4 linked regions of the Macaca fascicularis genome follow. The main gene of each other region encodes a partner of the protein of the gene in region 4 in a complex. Links are inferred from orthologs where the notes say so. Each region holds a gene or a part of one and is shown on either strand. Other genes may lie near its edges.

Evidence for each region. Proteins that work in one complex are often made in the same cells at the same time.
Region 1: the proteins of YWHAZ (region 4) and PRKCE are in contact, whole or in part, in a crystal structure (PDB 2WH0), measured with the Homo sapiens proteins. The link is inferred for Macaca fascicularis from reciprocal best matches to the Homo sapiens genes YWHAZ and PRKCE. Residues at the interface, in NP_001129171.1 of Homo sapiens: Asn42, Ser45, Val46, Lys49, Arg56, Lys120, Arg127, Tyr128, Gly169, Leu172, Asn173, Val176, Glu180, Leu216, Leu220, Asp223, Asn224, Leu227, Trp228; in NP_005391.1 of Homo sapiens: Lys365, Ala366, Leu367, Ser368, Phe369, Asp370, Asn371, Arg372.
Region 2: the proteins of YWHAZ (region 4) and ITGA4 are in contact, whole or in part, in a crystal structure (PDB 4HKC), measured with the Homo sapiens proteins. The link is inferred for Macaca fascicularis from reciprocal best matches to the Homo sapiens genes YWHAZ and ITGA4. Residues at the interface, in NP_001129171.1 of Homo sapiens: Lys49, Arg56, Lys120, Arg127, Tyr128, Glu131, Gly169, Leu172, Asn173, Val176, Tyr179, Glu180, Ile217, Leu220, Asn224, Leu227, Trp228; in NP_000876.3 of Homo sapiens: Arg1007, Gln1008, Tyr1009, Lys1010, Ser1011, Ile1012, Leu1013.
Region 3: the proteins of YWHAZ (region 4) and MAP3K5 are in contact, whole or in part, in a crystal structure (PDB 6EJL), measured with the Homo sapiens proteins. The link is inferred for Macaca fascicularis from reciprocal best matches to the Homo sapiens genes YWHAZ and MAP3K5. Residues at the interface, in NP_001129171.1 of Homo sapiens: Val46, Lys49, Asn50, Arg56, Lys120, Arg127, Tyr128, Glu131, Gly169, Leu172, Asn173, Val176, Tyr179, Glu180, Ile217, Leu220, Asp223, Asn224, Leu227, Trp228; in NP_005914.1 of Homo sapiens: Ser964, Ile965, Ser966, Leu967, Pro968, Val969.

What each region holds. Positions count from the first base shown.
Region 1 is NC_088387.1:76,045,219-76,049,341, reverse strand, and holds part of PRKCE (protein kinase C epsilon type), read left to right. Parts: intron 1-1,543; coding exon 1,544-1,740; intron 1,741-4,123.
Region 2 is NC_088386.1:77,073,766-77,077,888, reverse strand, and holds part of ITGA4 (integrin alpha-4), read right to left. Parts: intron 2,580-4,123; coding exon 2,472-2,579; intron 2,348-2,471; exon of another isoform or gene 1,931-2,347; coding exon of another isoform or gene 1,917-1,930; intron 1,607-1,916; coding exon 1,481-1,606; intron 477-1,480; coding exon 357-476; intron 1-356. Other genes in the region: CERKL (ceramide kinase-like protein), read left to right, coding at 1,917-1,930. UniProt on the Homo sapiens protein: Integrins alpha-4/beta-1 (VLA-4) and alpha-4/beta-7 are receptors for fibronectin. They recognize one or more domains within the alternatively spliced CS-1 and CS-5 regions of fibronectin. They are also receptors for VCAM1.
Region 3 is NC_088378.1:40,609,610-40,613,622, forward strand, and holds the end of MAP3K5 (mitogen-activated protein kinase kinase kinase 5), read right to left. Parts: intron 2,762-4,013; coding exon 2,685-2,761; intron 1,705-2,684; coding exon 1,644-1,704; 3' UTR 932-1,643; downstream 1-931. UniProt on the Homo sapiens protein: Serine/threonine kinase which acts as an essential component of the MAP kinase signal transduction pathway. Plays an important role in the cascades of cellular responses evoked by changes in the environment.
Region 4 is NC_088382.1:110,574,330-110,578,452, forward strand, and holds part of YWHAZ (14-3-3 protein zeta/delta), read right to left. Parts: exon of another isoform or gene 3,898-4,123; intron 2,395-3,897; 5' UTR 2,384-2,394; coding exon 2,090-2,383; intron 1-2,089.

The sequences.
Region 1 (4,123 bases), on a different chromosome or scaffold from region 4:
AGATCCCCTTTGGGAGCTTCAGGGAGACAGGGTCATATGGGAAAGAGAGCCCAAGTAAGAGTTCAGAGACCAGGGTTTCTAGGCCTGGCTCCTGCCCCGCATGCTCTCTGGCTCTGAGCTCTGTCATTGGATGGGTACAGTAGCAGGTTGCAGTGCTCCCCAGGGCCTCTGCTCATCCCACTTGACACAGGGGCCAGGATTTCCCAGTAGTGATGTGAGCACAGATGTCCCTCTGAGTGACATTATTACACAACAGAAATCAGACATAGTTTATTTTTCTTCCCTTGTAAGAATAAATAGAAAAACTTTTTCTTCAATCTTTGGTGTCCCTAAACAACTATGTTCTGCCTTCCAAAATTCATTTAATAACTGAGGCTTTTAGCTCTATGGTGAGATTAAAAGTTACTTAGTCAAGCTAAGTGATAGGCAGATAACTGCTGAATTGGCAAGGGGAGGGTCTGCAGACTTAGCAGCTTTCCCCCACTTCACCCTCCCCAACACATCTCAGAGGAGCCAAACTCCAGATCTAGGAAAGATCTCTGGATTCCTTGAGTGAGCCCTTATAGGACTCTGTCCTCCTGAAAAGAAGCTGAAGATCTCTTTCTGTCACTCATGCCTAATTCTGATTCCCAAGGGCTAATAGGCTGTGTTCGCCTTCTGTAATCCGTTATTCACAAGCATCATTTAAAATCGGATTATGCTCAAGACGCCCATTTCCACACAAAAGACTGCGTGTCTTGATGAATGAGTTGCTAACAGTAAAGCTTCTTCAAATAGAAAAGGTCAGAGGATCATCCAGCATTATCTCCCCCAGGTAATTCAAGTCACAAGCTCTAGAGTAGGGCACAAGACTGTCTCATAGTTGAGAAGTTTTACTGAGAAATTCCCGCCCCATTGGAGATAAGTTTGCAACATGTCACTTGGGAAAGCAATTCTGTTGTTAATAATAAGCCCATTGCTCGTTTTGTTAGATAACCTTGTGTGAGATGGGTATTTAGAAGAAACCCGGCAACAAGGCTGAGTAAAGGCTTTTAGAAGGTGTGAAGATTTCCACCTTCAGTGATCAGCCACCATTCTGATGGCTCGGTTATTGAAATAATTATATCACCAATGATTACTGTGATGACAGTTCCTGATTCGTTGTTCTCATCTTCAAAGGAAACTTGAAGGATACCTATGACTCTGCAGAATTCTAGAGAGGGCCCAGATTTGTGTGCTGCACCTAGAACAATGGAATAGGCTACTAGCCAAAGGGGGCTTTCAGAGAGACGGCCAGGTCCAGTGTAATCTGGAGTTTACAAGGGCAGGGAAGGGACTGTGTCCTCCTCCTCTTTGCATACCTAGGCTCTGCTGCGCATTGGGTGCCAACGAGAATATGGTGAACAGATGAGGGAACATACAAAGGGATGCCACACTGGATCTGTTGTTATGAAGAACCAGAAAGAGGACTGAGAGCTTACAGGGGAAAGTCTGAGTGTTGAGTCCTAATGGAACAGCTTATGAGGTATGCACTAATGCAATTTCTTGTTCCCCTTGGCCCTAGAAATAAAAGAACTTGAGAACAACATTCGGAAAGCCTTGTCATTTGACAACCGAGGGGAGGAGCACCGGTCGGCATCATCTCCTGATGGCCAGCTGAGCCCTGGGGAGAATGGCGAAGTCCGGCAAGGCCAGGCCAAGCGCCTGGGCCTGGATGAGTTCAACTTCATCAAGGTGTTGGGCAAAGGCAGCTTTGGCAAGGTCTGTGGCACACATGGGTGGAACTGCTGGTTTTGTTCTACTCCTTAGCGTTGTTTCATCTGTTTGATCTAAGATTGAGAGAGGAACTTTTCAGACTGATCTCGTTAGGTTTTCTTTCCTTCCTTGTAAGTGCAAATGACCTGAGGCCAAGCAGATAGGAACCCTGGTTCTACTATTAATTGGCTATATGAGACTTTCACATAGTGATTTAATCTCTTTGGAATTCAGTTTTTCTCATTTGTTGAATGGGGACAGGAATCAAGTGAGATGGTAAATGAGAAAGCACTTTGGAAAGTTTTAAATGCTCAGTGTTCCAAGTTAATAATAGTATCAATACATGTCTTCCCTGCTTCAGAGATCCAGCTGAAATTCTGTTTTTAATTCATTATGAAGACTTTGAGAATGAATTCCTGCCCTCAGTAAACCTAGGGTTCAAAGCAAATTTAGCATGCATTACTTTGGAAGGTAAATTTTATTTAACTGATCTTTCTGGCATGTAGTAAATGTTTTGTTTATCCTCTATATGTGGCAAGAGAATGGGAATAATCATCTCATGCCTTGGATCAGGGTCCTCTGTCCTTGGTGTCATTCTCCATATCTTGTTCCCCACTGAGATGAATGCAGTGGTGTGGGGTGTGGCGTTTAGTATGCTCAATAAAGCATAAAGGTGGTCAGCCACCATACTGATGGCTAGGTGAAATGAAAAAATTAACCCCTGTTCATTTTAGAAAGAAGATGAAGGGGCAGGAAGCAGAGGAAGCTGTTTGCATTTCACCTGAGATCTCTGATTTTTCCCTGGCTCTATTCAGAGCTGAGCCTGGGAGTCACCTTTCTGGGGCCTCCTGAGAGGTTCTGGGAGGTCCTGCTCTGGGGACCAGGAAGCTCCTGGGATCACATGCCCTGGCATGTCCTGGACTCTTGAAAGCAGCAGCCTGTCAATCAGCTGGTCCATCCCACCTGGTTCCCAGCTGTCTCACCTGCCCCTATCTCACCCTGATATCACTCTGGTGGGAAGGTAACTGGGGTTTACTTAAATGGCAAAAGCTGAAGCAATTACATTCTTTAGAGACTGGCTAAATAAGAAGAGGTCCTCTGGTTAGGCATAATTCTGGGGCGTGAGCAGGATGCAGTCTAATTTTGAGCAAGACTCCAAGATTCTAGGTTTTCATATAGTGTAGGCAGGATGGGAACTTAGATGACTTTGGAGCATTTAGGTTATCTCTTAGGAAAAATCACAGCCAAAGTTTGAGCCAGTTTTAAAGAGTCTGTAAAATATGTGGGTGACAAAAAGTCTTCAGGTTAACATCATGAATTCCCTCATTAAGTTTCTGATGGCTGCTTTTTAGCTTTGATGACTTACATTGGAATACTGTACTTAGGAGTTACTTATTTAAGAAGAGAAAGGCTTGTGACGTTTGTAGGTAAATGAGTGCAAAAATATCAAATGATAGGAACACTTTAAGAAAATAGAACTGTTAATTAGCTCTCTTGAATAGGAATCACGTTTCCAGCTTCAAAGTTATAAAAGAAACTATAAAGGCAAACAAGGACAGATTCAACTACATAAAGATACATGATTCTTTTCAATAGAATAAAATAACAGAAAATCATAAAACAGGCTTAGAAAAACTTTTACAGAAAGTAAAGGGTTAGTATCTTTATATATCATATGTGTATAAATTTGTAAGAAATTAATATGATAGCAGCATAATAAGACAAAAGAGACGGGAGTAATTTACACAAAAAGAAATACAGTCAGAAAACATATTTTTAAGGTTTCATTTTAAGTTAAAATAGCATCACTGTAACATTTCACACCTATTAAGTGAGCAAAAAGACTTTTTAAGTGAAACTACTCAGTGTTGTTAAGTCACCATGAAACTCCAACACTCCTACATTACTAGTGCCACATTGTATCACACATCCTTTTTGAAAATAGGAAATGTGCAAAATGCTTAACCCTTTACCTACTTATGAGAGTTTCCATCTTACAAATGTAATCCAAGAGGAATTGTTTTAATTGTGTACAAAAATACTCAATGCAATTTACATAATACTTAATGATTAGATATAACTTAAGTGTCTAATTTGAGGGAAATGGTTAAATAAATTATGTTTACTTGAATTGAATATAAGCAACCGTGATAATGATGGAGACCACGTGGAGAATGTCTGTAAGATAACGTTCAGTTAAAAATAGTTACAACTGGCCGGGCGCGGTGACTCAAGCCTGTAATCCCAGCACTTTGGGAGGCCGAGACAGGCGGATCACAAGGTCAGGAGATCGAGACCATCCTGGCGAACACGGTGAAACCCCGTCTCTACTAAAAATACATAAAAAACTAGCCGGGCAAGGTGGCGGGCGCCTGTAGTCCCAGCTACT
Region 2 (4,123 bases), on a different chromosome or scaffold from region 4:
CAAGTTGTCAATATGTTTTAGACTTACCATTTCTTTTTTTTTTTTCTTTTTTTTTTTTTTTTTTTGAGACGGAGTCTTGCTCTGTGCCCCAGGCTGGAGTGCAGTGGCGTGATCTCGGCTCACTGCAAGCTCCGCCTCCCGGGTTCACGCCATTCTCCTGCCTCAGCCTCCCGAGTAGCTGGGACTACAGGCACCCGCCACCCCGCCCGGCTAATTTTCTTGTATTTTTAGTAGAGACGGGGTTTCACCGTGTTAGCCAGGATGGTCTCGATCTCCTGACCTCGTGATCCGCCCGTCTCGGCCTCCCAAAGTGCTGGGATTACAGGCTTGAGCCACTGCGCTCGGCCTAGACTTACCATTTCTAAAATGGATGGTCGGCCTTCCAACTGGATATGAACACTGGCTTCTTTTCCACTTTCCATTTTCCCGAAATTACATAGGAAATTTAAACAATGTGGATCAGCTTTTATGCAGTACTTGAAAGGAATATAAAAGTGATACATTAAAATTTTCAACACTGGAAAATATTTTAAAAATATTTTATATATAATTTAATATATACTCTAATGGCATTTTGAAAATCATCTTTCCATAAATATGAAATTTAACATCTGCTTTCCTCAGTGGCATTTAAATTATCTTTAAACAAGACATGAATGCTTATTTTCTAAATTATAATAAAGTATTTAAAATAGAGCATATGTTCCTATTTGTATTAACAATCTTCTGGGACAGAATTTTTAAAAAAAATGTTCTAATCAGAGTCTTGCTAAGTTACATATTCTATGTTTGTTGTAAAACGTGGATCATTTCAAGGTGATGACTGCTTCTCCAGTTTCTTTTCATACATTCACTAAGCTGAAAAGAATGAAAATTAACCCATGCCACAAAGGCTGCCCAGGTGAAGACAACATCTTGGTGTCCTGAAGGGTTTGGAACAATGTTTTGTTGGCAAATAGTGGGCATTTGTTAGATAAAAAAATGAAACTGTATAACTTTTTTTTTCTTTTTGACATGGAGTCTTGCTCTGTCGCCCAGGCTGGAGTGCAGTGGCATGATCTTGGCTCACTGCAACCTCCACCTCCCGGATTCAAGCAATTCTCCTGCCTCAGCCTCCCACGTAGCTGGGATTACAGGCACCTGCCACCACACCTGGCTGATTTTTGTATTTTTAGTAGAGACGGGGTTTCACTCTGTTGTCCAGGCTGGTCTCAAACTCCTGACCTTGTGATCTGCTCACCTTGGCCTCCCAAAGTGCTTACAGGCATGAGCTACCATGCCCAGCTAACATATTTATATATGGGATAGACCCTAGGTCTTTCTCAACTCTCCAACCGTGCTTGTTCCTTCCATGCAAGAATACTACCTAAACTTGGCTTCTCTTTTATTGAAGTGACAGCTCAAACCCATTGACTTGATTTTAAGTGTTTCACTTCTCTGTTGGAAAGCAGCAACTACAACCTGAAAAATGGAAACTTACCAATAGCCTCTTATCAGTCTTGGACAAGAACTGGAACATGCCTTTCAAGGTGTGCATTGCACTCTTTTGCTGCTCTAATGCACATACTCTTTGATAATTTTCAAAGTGGCATTCTCCAGTAGTAGTCTATGAAGATAGAAAGGAAGAGAAATCTTATCTTTCATCATTGGAAAAAACAGCAAAAAGCAACATGGTTTTAAAAGTTCCAGTAGCTTATCTTTGCTAAAATATATCAAGTACCTTTGAAATTGTATAATTTTTTTTTTGACATATTTGGGAGTGACTAAATGTCTGTGGCAGAAACACAAAAACCCAGCTGAATTATAGAAGGTTGGATATAGGTTCTAAGCTGATAACGTGGCCTTAAACCTTGCAGAAATGTAAAAATTGATATTGGAACATTAGCATGATATTAAATATTTCTTTTCCTTTATAGGGGAAACAATATAACACCATATTCTTCTCTCTGAATCCGGAATTTAAGTAGGATTTTAAAATCAGACCTCAAACGTATTTAGATTTGTTGACTTCTGTCTTCAACCTGGCAAGCTCAAAACAATTCTGATGGAACCATCAATGAAAGAATATTGGTTCTTAAGAAGTGGTTTGAATAGTGCTTCCTTCAAAAAAGGCTATAATCCTCATATTTGCACAGTAGTTTCAAGTGCTATGAAGAAGTCTACCAATCAAGTTACTTCTGTAGGTCCATATCACACAAAAATGTATCTTAAAATAATTATTCAATGGAGATGGTAGAATATGGTTCTGTTATTTAAATCGAATGTAAAAGTTGCACTGTAAATCTATAGCTGTAATGAAATATATAATATTCAAAGCATGACTCAATAAATGCATGGTGAATTCATAGCTTACAGTGTGACTGAAAACAGTTATCCATTTTCGCATTATTACTTGAATAAAGGATTGGTTTGCATTTATTTTAGTATTTAAGACACACAATAAAGGTCAGGTGGAAGAAATACATTTTTACCTGGACATCCAAAATGTTGAACAGCTTATCAGTTTGGGGGCTGAAAGAATTTGGTACCATTATTTCCACACTAACATTAGGAGCCATGCTATTGCCAGTGTTGATAACCTGGTAAGAAGGAAAAATTTTTAACAAATGTTTTCTATAAATGTAAGTGCAGATATCAATGAACTTTGAGGTGATCCCATATATTCCATGCAACATTTATAGTGGTGGAGGTTTATAGTTGGCAGCTGCACAAAAAAGGTAGACAAGATATCCATAGTCAGAATTTTTAAAGTTTGCTAATTTTGAATGAGTCATTATATCTAACCTTCTAGTTTTGGTATTGTTGAAAACAAAAAGTACAGGCTGATGGTTTATTGGAGAAACAGTCTTAGGAGACAAACAATATATATTTGTATGTTACATTACATATTTTAAAAATATTTGGTTCTCATGAGGTGGGCCAACATTCTGGTATTCACCAGCTAAGGGAAATGCTAACAGATGTTCTTAGAGTTCCCAAGACAAAAGTTAAAAAGTGACAAGAGTTATGACCAAAACTCAGATATTGTAATTCTAAATCCTATGATGTTATTGCAAAAGCATTCTGTGCTGAGAGGATAATCAGCAGGAGAAAGTGAATAAAAATGTATTTTTATTCAGGATCTATATGCTGATGCATTCAGAAAAAAGTATGTTGTTGGGTTTTGAGAAAGCACAACAGGTTTTTAACAATACTTGTCAAAAAATGCATAACAGGATGATAAATCTGGGGATTGAAGATTCCTGAAAAGGGAAATGGGGCCAAAATATAGCCTACCGAACTGGCAGCTTAACTATAAAACCAATACAGTAAGTCAGAAAGAGATGCATCCCAACACCTCGATTAAAAAATGACCTGCAGACCTGCAGTCATTTTATGAACACGTGACAAAGATGAAGAAAGTGTCTCCAGATTGGGAACAGGTGGTAATTGCTAATCCATAAAAGAACAGGGCAGTTGCAGAAGGAAATGTCAGCAACAGATACCTAGCAGTGCCCAGTACTACAGACAAGGTCTTCTCGATGCCATTAAATATCAATCTAAATCACAAACATCTTGTTTGCCTAACAACAATTAAACCTCTAAGAATATCTACATAGTTGGCTAGACACAGAAATCCTATATACCACAAGTTTCTCTAGTCCCAGCCACTACATTATAAATTTAGTAGCAAATACTTAACTATTAATTGTAAATTAATAAATCATCTAGAGTACAGTTTGGTTTCTGTTTTAGTTTATCAAAGCACAAACTCCCACTGGGTTTTAAAGAGCATTTCATAGGACTTCAAAGTGGAGGAGGACTAAAATTTTTCAACATTAGTATCAACTAGTATAACAAAAATTGGAATATACATAGAGTCAACAGGATTTCAAGGTCATTCTTTTTCCACAGATCTGGGGCAGGGCCCAGGAATTTGCATTTTGGATAGGTACCCCAAATGATTCTAATACACATTTTGAAAAGCATTGTCTTACAAAATATTATACCTAATCCAAGATTTACTCGCATATATAGATTATAAGAATGCTTGGACAGTGCTTTTGGTTCAAAGAATTCTTTTTTGGAAATTACTAATCACCAATATCTTTGATACAACAAAAATATCAGTTTGACAGCAAAA
Region 3 (4,013 bases), on a different chromosome or scaffold from region 4:
GGGCAGGCTCATAAAAATATACTATTCAGCTTAAAATAAATAAAAATATTTCTCCAAATATGAGTAAATTGAGGAGATAGAAAAATACAGTATTCTTGGCCAGGCATAGTAGCACACACCTGTAATCCCAGCACTTTAGGAGGCCAAGGTAGATGGATCACTTGAGGTCAGGAGTTTGAGACCAGCTTGCCAAACATGGCAAAACCTCATTGCTACTAAAAATACAAATTAGCTGGGTGTAGTGGTACACGCCTATAATCCCAGCTACTCAGGAGGCTGACCTACAAGAATCACTTGAACCCGGGAGGTGGAGGTTGCAGTAAGCTGAGATGGTGCCACTGCACTCCAGCCGGAGCAACAGAGCAAGACTCTGTCAATAAATAAATAAATAAACAAATAAATAAATAAATACGTAGTATTCTCCATTAAGATGGTCTTTGCAGACGCCTTAAGATACACAATAGTCATCCAAGATAACTTGGGGCCTTGAGAAAAATATACTTCCCTTTATTCTTTTTTTCCTCACCCTCTTTTTTTTTTTTTTTTTTTTTTTTTTGAGACAGGGTCTTACTCTGTTGCCCAAGCTAGAGTGAAATGGCACAATCATGGCTCACTGCAATCTCAACCTCCCGGGCTCAAGTGATCCTCCTGCCTCAGCCTCCCATGTAGCTAGGACCACAGGTGTGCACAACCACACCTAGCTGAATGTTTGAGTTTTTGTAGAGATGGGGTCTCACTTTGTTGCCCAGGCTTACCCTTTCTTAAACCTCCATTCCCCTGAGGAACAACCTGGATGTCAGTTGTCTGACTGCTTGAATAGAAGACAGATTTTACTAAATGTTATAGCTGGAGAAACGACTGGAAATTTAACACAGCAGACTATCTAGTTTGTCAATACAAAATAAGAATTCTTTAGAAGTTATCAAAACAGTATGTTGAGAGTCTTTTTAATTTTTAGAGTAAATATGACACAATGGATAGCTTTAGAACAAGCTAACGTTACTACGGTTCAAGCATGTGCAACTGGTACAGTTCAGTAGTACATAAACGACTCAAACAAATGTACGACAGGTCAGAAACTTAAGTTACAAAATATAGTCAATATTACAATTAACACAGAGAAGTAAAAACCATTGCTCTCAGATTCTGCACACTTAAAAAAACATAAACTTTATACAGTAATTGAAATTATGCATTTCTACTCAGATTATTAGAGCATATTACAAACACACAGAAGCCTAAAAAGTTATGGTCACATTTTGGTTTTGTTCCAGTGGTGCACAATCACATGAAATGTTACATCCGTTTTGTGTGAAATAAACATTTGGCTGAAGTGCAATAGCTGCTGCATTAAAAATATTTCCATAAAAATGCTTAGATTAAAATCTTCCTGAACGTTAGGGTTCTAATGTTCAGGATTATTTTAAGAGTCCTTATGAAGAGTCCTTAAAAATTATAGAAATAGATGTAGTTAGGAAATTTCAGTGTGTTTTGTCTGTTTTTTTTTTTTTTTAACGTGAGTAAACAAATACTGGATTTAAAGTGCAGCTCCTTTCTCCTCTCCCTTCGATTTTCCCACCCCCAAGAAGGTCAGATCTGTATTAATTTTTAGAATTTCCATTGAAGATTAAATTGAGCAACAGTCAAGTCTGTTTGTTTCGAAAGTCAATGATGGCCTTCCACAGTGTGCACAGCATCCCTCCCCTGTTGAAAGACACAAGAACATGGTGAAAAGAACATTTCATTTGAAACACTGCCCTTGAAATAGAAAAGTGACTTCTTAGCTTTCATCTGCTCTGGTCAGAAGAAGATCCCAAAGTCTGATCAGTTATTATGTATTCTTTTTGTATATATTTTCTCATCTTCCCTCCATTCCTTCTCTTTTCACTCCCACAAACTGCTGTGTCCCAAAACATCATTTCAGATTTTCAGCATTTTTGAAATTTGTCTTTATAATGGTGGGTATAATAGTTTTCTGCTTGGGCTGGGTGTGGTGGCTCACACCTGTAATCCCAGCACTTTGGGAGGCTGAGGCAGGCAGATCATGAGGTCAGGAGATTGAGACCACCCTGGCTAACACGGTGAAACCCTGTCTTTACTGAAAACACAAAAAAATTAGCTGGGCATGGTGGCGAGCACCTGTAGTCTCAGCTACTCGGGAGGCTGAGGCAGAAGAATGGCGTGAACTTGGGAAGCGGAGCTTGCAGTGAGCCAAGATCACGCCACTGCATTGCAGCCTGGGTGACAAAGCGAGACTCCATCTCGGAAAAAAAAAAAAAGTTCTATGCTTGGCCTTAATTAATAATAAATTATATCAGATTATACCAGGCTTTTGGAGGGCAAGTCAGCACCTCCTCCAAATATTTATTGAGTATAACACCATCATGAACTCAATTAAAGCATTTGTGTAAGGCAGCTTCAGAATATCTGCATGGACTTAGTCTGCATATTATTCAAAAAAATTCTTCCAGTTGATTTTCACTTACTAATATAGAAATATTGGTTATTAGAGCCCTCAAAAATAGAATGGTCCAACTAACTCAGTTTACTCAGAGCAGCTAAGAACTAGAGAGCTCTGTCCAGAACTGCAAAGCTAATTAGAGACCCAGCCTGGGCAGGTACTCAGACTTTCTTATATTAGCCCGGTACTCTTTCTATCGTGACAACAGAAAGAAAAGTGGTACCTTAGTCTCAAGCATTTTAAGTCATCACGTGTAACATAGTAGAGAACATCCAATAGTGTATAATCTTCAGCCAAAAACTGTAGAGAAAGTAGAATATGCACAAAAGTAAGATGTTTTATATAACTTTAATAAAGCACAAACTCTATTTATAATGTAAACCTTGACTATAATTAAAAATGAATCTAAAAATGAAATTACTAAAAACACAATCTTCTGTGATTATTAGGGGAAAGGCCTCCCTATTACTCAATAAATACAAATAAATGCATCCAGGCTGGGTGCAGTGGCTCACACCTATAACCCCAGCACTTTGGGAGGCTGAGGCAGGCGGATCATCTGAGGTCAGGAGTTCGAGACCAGCCTGGCCAAAGTGGTGAAACCCCATCTCTACTAAAAATACAAAAAATTAGCTGGGCGTGGTGGCATGTGCCTGTAATCCCAGCTACTTGGGAGGCTGAGGCAGGAGAATCACTTGAACTCAGGAGGCAGAGGTTGCAGTGGGCTGAGATTGAACAACTGTACTCCAGCCTGGGCGACAGAGTGAGACTCCATACAAAAAAAAAATACAAATGCATCCATATTAACTTCCAAATGCAAAAAGATTACAAGTGACACAGAACTTCTGAATGGTCTTCTAATGAACAGATGAGACTCACTTGTAATCACATCTGCTGTTCAAAAACAAATCTTGTATTTAGAAGTTCAATGCTATGTAGCTTTGTTTTTTCTCAAGTGGATAAAAAGTGTTCCTGGAAAGGTGTTGCCTATGCTTAATTTCTGAACTTACTTTTTCATGGTTAAGCAAAGGCACTTGACTGTAATTCACCATAAAAGCAGAATCTTAATTTGAACTGCACCTTTACATTTTTAAATTTTATTTTTTTTATATATATATAGAGAGACAAAGTCTCACTATATTGACCAGCCTCATCTCCAACACCTGGCATCAAGCAATCTGCCTATGCTTCCCAAAATGTTGGGATAACAGGCGGGAGCCACTGCACCTGTCCTGAAGCTTTGAAATCAAATAAGAAAGGGCAATTATTTAGTAGATTATCAATTACTATTCCGTAATTGGGATTTGAGCCTAAGTTAGAGGAATGTATATTCTGGAGTTGTTTAAATTTATTCAGCTGTAACTTGTTAAATGTAGATTTCCAAGGCGGCCCAAAATTCTCTTAGTTAATAAATTATCAAGTCAAAAGAAGAGATATCTTTATTCTTATTTATTTAAAAAATTTAAATATAAAACAAATTAAAACAATATTGTATTAAGAGGGCCCCTCTATCAAATATTACAATCTTTCAATGTATGCCTGTGTGTTCATA
Region 4 (4,123 bases):
TTAATAATCATAACAACAAGAAGCTATTAATATTAAGAGATTATCTTGTCATCCTCATCTACTGGTTCTATGCAAAAAATTTTTCTTGATAAGGAAACCAAAGGGAAGCATAGTCAAAACTGCTACAAGTTGGGCCAGACATGGTGGCTCACCCCTGTAATCCCAGCACTTTGGGAGGCTGAGGTGAGTGGATCACCTGAGGTTGGGAGTTAGACCTGACCTGGTTACCAGCCTGGCCAACAAGGTGAAACCCTATCTCTACTAAAAATACAAAAATTAGCTGGGCGTGGTGGCGCACGCCCTGTAATTCCAACTACTAGGGAGGTCAAGGCAGAAGAATTGCTTGAACACGGGAGGCTGAGGTTGCAGTGAGCTAAGATCATGCCATTGCACTCAAGCCTGGGCAACAAGAGCAAAACTCAGTCTCAAAAGAAACACAAAAAAACAAACCTGCTACAAGTCTTTTCCCAGGAGAAGACTCACAATGACAGGAACTTTTATACTTTGTATATGGAAAACATGCACATACCTACCTGGTATTGCAAATAAGCGTGTTATTAAAAGGTAAATGTCACATTCCTTTTTATTCCTAAAGTTGACTTTTGTCTTAAGGGAAATGTTAACTTGTAACATATCCTTTGAAGCCCAAATAAAAACTTTTTGATCAAGTGTAACACCAGACTGAACAAAACTGAGTTACACTTACACAGATATTAGTAAGGAGAGCAAGGAAAAAAAAAAAAAAAAACCCAATACATTTTTTATTATAGGAAAAAAATCACATTTTCAAAATTTAAATATTCTTACTACCTTAGCAAAATCACAAGATAGGTATTTGTCACTTGGCCTCAATAAAAGCAAGATATTCCTTTTTTCAACTTAGATACAAATAACAGCTATCATTGTAAAGGTTTCAATAAGAACAACAAAAAAAAAGCCCCAAGACAGATGTCTCATTGAGTTTGTGATTGTGAACCCAAATAAGCATGTTTTAAAAAATCACTATTATTTTAAAAGACAGTGTCAAGTATCATTTGAGAAAAATACAGTTTAGGAACTGATGCTATTCCATTAGTAAATACAAGTGTAAAGAAATGATAGCATCATCACAACTGTAACAAAAACCCCAAACCCACAACCACATCAGACATTATCCTATTGCTCATTACAGTACTTCTTCCATATAAATAAGGTTCATATAGTAAGTAACACACCTGGATTTCCATACTGAGTCCCACATTCAGTAACCTGTCCAGAAAAATCGCGATGCTGCTGCCCCTCTTTGTATATCAGAGTCCTGCCATACTGATTAAGTGTAACCATTTAGCAAAATCACTTTAAATATTATTCGAAAAACTGCCAGCTTGGATTTTCTACTAGTTTATCCTCAAATTTAAACTATTCTTGATCAAAAAGCCCTACTTTGTATGACAGATTAAAATTAACCAAAATGTAGTTTAATCATTTTAAGCGCAGTGCTTCAACACAGTAGGTACTGAATACTTAAAATACTCGATTCAAACTGGAAAAATCAAGCTTGAGTTATTCATAACCTTTCATCATGGTTGCGAGTGTTCAAAATTTATTTTCAAGAATTCAATGCAGGAAAGAGGTTTCATAGTCGTGACGCCAGAGTTTTCTGCATGGCTGACTCATTACATTAACATTATAGCGGCTAATCCTGAGAAGAGTACTATTTCTACAATCAGTATCCTATTACATCTCTCTTACATAAAATATGTAAAATTCCTTTATCCATAGATGTACATTTAAGATAACCAGCTATAGAGCTACCACAAATGTTCTAACCATAAGTAAAGCAGTAATACTATTAGTTTATCTTTTCAATAATACTAAAGTGTGTTATTTTTAAAACTGAACTGTTTCATCATCATTATTACAATTACTTTACATACACATATCTATAATTGTCTTAACATCTTTTTAGTTATGACACCATGAAGACTTTTAAATCTGAACACACAATGTTTAGAAGGAAAAGATAAACCGAAGAAAACGTTGAGAGTAATGTAACTGATACTCATAGGAACCTTACAGTATAATGAAGCCAGATTCAATTGATTCTCACCAGTACATCATTGCAGATATCTCTTAGCTCCGTCTCAATTTTCTCTCTGTATTCTCGAGCCATCTGCTGTTTTTTCTCAGCACCTTCCGTCTTTTGTTCAATACTTGAGACGACCCTCCAAGATGACCTACGGGCTCCTACAACATTTTTATAAGCAACTGAGAGAAGATTCCTCTCCTCATTGGATAATTCAGCTCCTTGCTCAGTTACAGACTTCATGCAGGCTGCCATGTCATCATATCGCTCAGCCTGCTCGGCCAGTTTGGCCTTCTGAACCAGCTCATTTTTATCCATGACTGGATGTTCTGCAGGGGGGAAAAAAGGAGTATTTAAAATTTTTCCCATCAAAATAAACAGACTCAAAATTATACCTGTGGTAAATGAGTTTTTTAAACCTGAAATCTAACTGCCTGTGGAAGACTGTTCACATGAAGAATTAAAATGCAGCTTCACAAAAGGATAGTCAGAAAAGGAAAAAAAATTCAGCATACTCAGCATCAGAGGTAAACTTTCAGCCATTAACACATCAGTGTAGCAAAACTAAAATTTGTCCATTAGATACAGATTTCACATGTCAAAATTACTTTCAAAAGCTGCCTCAAAAACTTACCCCAATCTTACTTGACCAAAATCTCAACTCATTTCCAATACCACTAAGTGATCTGAAATTAAGCAGCTTTTCTTCCATAGTAAAAGCATTGTTTACAGAGAACATCTGGATTTCTATCATATTTCCAGAATCATAATTCTTGTCAGTTTAACTCATGTCTTTTTACTTTCATAATACTTTCGTCAGGAGTGATTAAATTTTAGTTTTAGTGTTACCCCCACCCCAAACCTACTAGATCTCTGCAACATTTGCCAGCCAATAATAGCATAACAATTTGGGGGGAGGAATGACCAAACTGTTTGTTTTCAGATATTTTGAGTATAAATCCACCACAAAGGATCAATATCTGACCCTAATGCCTCAACTCCTTATCTTGTTATATGTCCACATGCTTTAAAAATATCCACAAGTCATGGCACTTCAACTCTTACTGTGAGTACTAGAATATATCACGTTGGAAGTACTTGATTTACAAGTGTTTCCAATGTCATTGCTCCAGTTGAAATGTAGAAGTGCTGCATTTTGCGTCTAGCTGTCATACTGTAATTGGATGTTATCACTCAAGCTGTTCTTCACCATGACTATCCACCTAATTCTCTTTCCCTCGCGTTTTAGTTTCCTAGACCTTTTCTATTTACCTCAGCTACATTTTTCTGGAAAGATATCCTTTGGCAAGTTGGCAAACAGCACAAAGATACTAATCCACACAGCGATACCACACCAAAAAAAAAAACGACTTTAGAGAAAAATATACACCCTGAATGAAGTGCACTTTTAAATTAGGTGAACGGAAGAGTTCACCTTGGAAGCTGACTCTCGAATATTAATCATCTTTTGCCTTCCCAGGGAAATCTCACAGTATTTTTTTAACTAAATGAGAACAGGTCCCCACATTTTAAACAAATTACTTAGCCACTTTGGATACAAGGTACTGGCTCAATACGTAAACTATTTAACCTTTATGACGGCATTATTTTCCTCAGGTGTCTAAATTACTAATTTTTCCCTTAGGATCTCAGAAACAGTCTCTGGTTAATTCTGCTTCTAATGAAAAATGATTTAAACCAGTACAAAGGATTCTCTACCCAATCACTTCGGTACAAGAGGAAGTGGATAAGGTTTCTCACACAGTAATGAGTGCTCCAAGGCCTCGCCTCTACACTGCGGGCAGGACTCACCGCACCCATTTAACCCTTACCTGACTTGAGACGTCGACTACGGCGAAACGAAAACCGGCAGACCCGGACTTTAAAGTGAAAATCCTCCGGTCCACTTATCCGCAACCACCCCCCTCCAGGCTCCGCCCAAGTCGGAGCCTCCGCTCAAGTCCCCGACTCTCCTTTGTCATGGCGGATCTGTGTCAGGGAGCCCAACCTACTGCAGAGTGTTAATTCCCCCCTCCTCCGACCGAAGCCAGAGGGAGG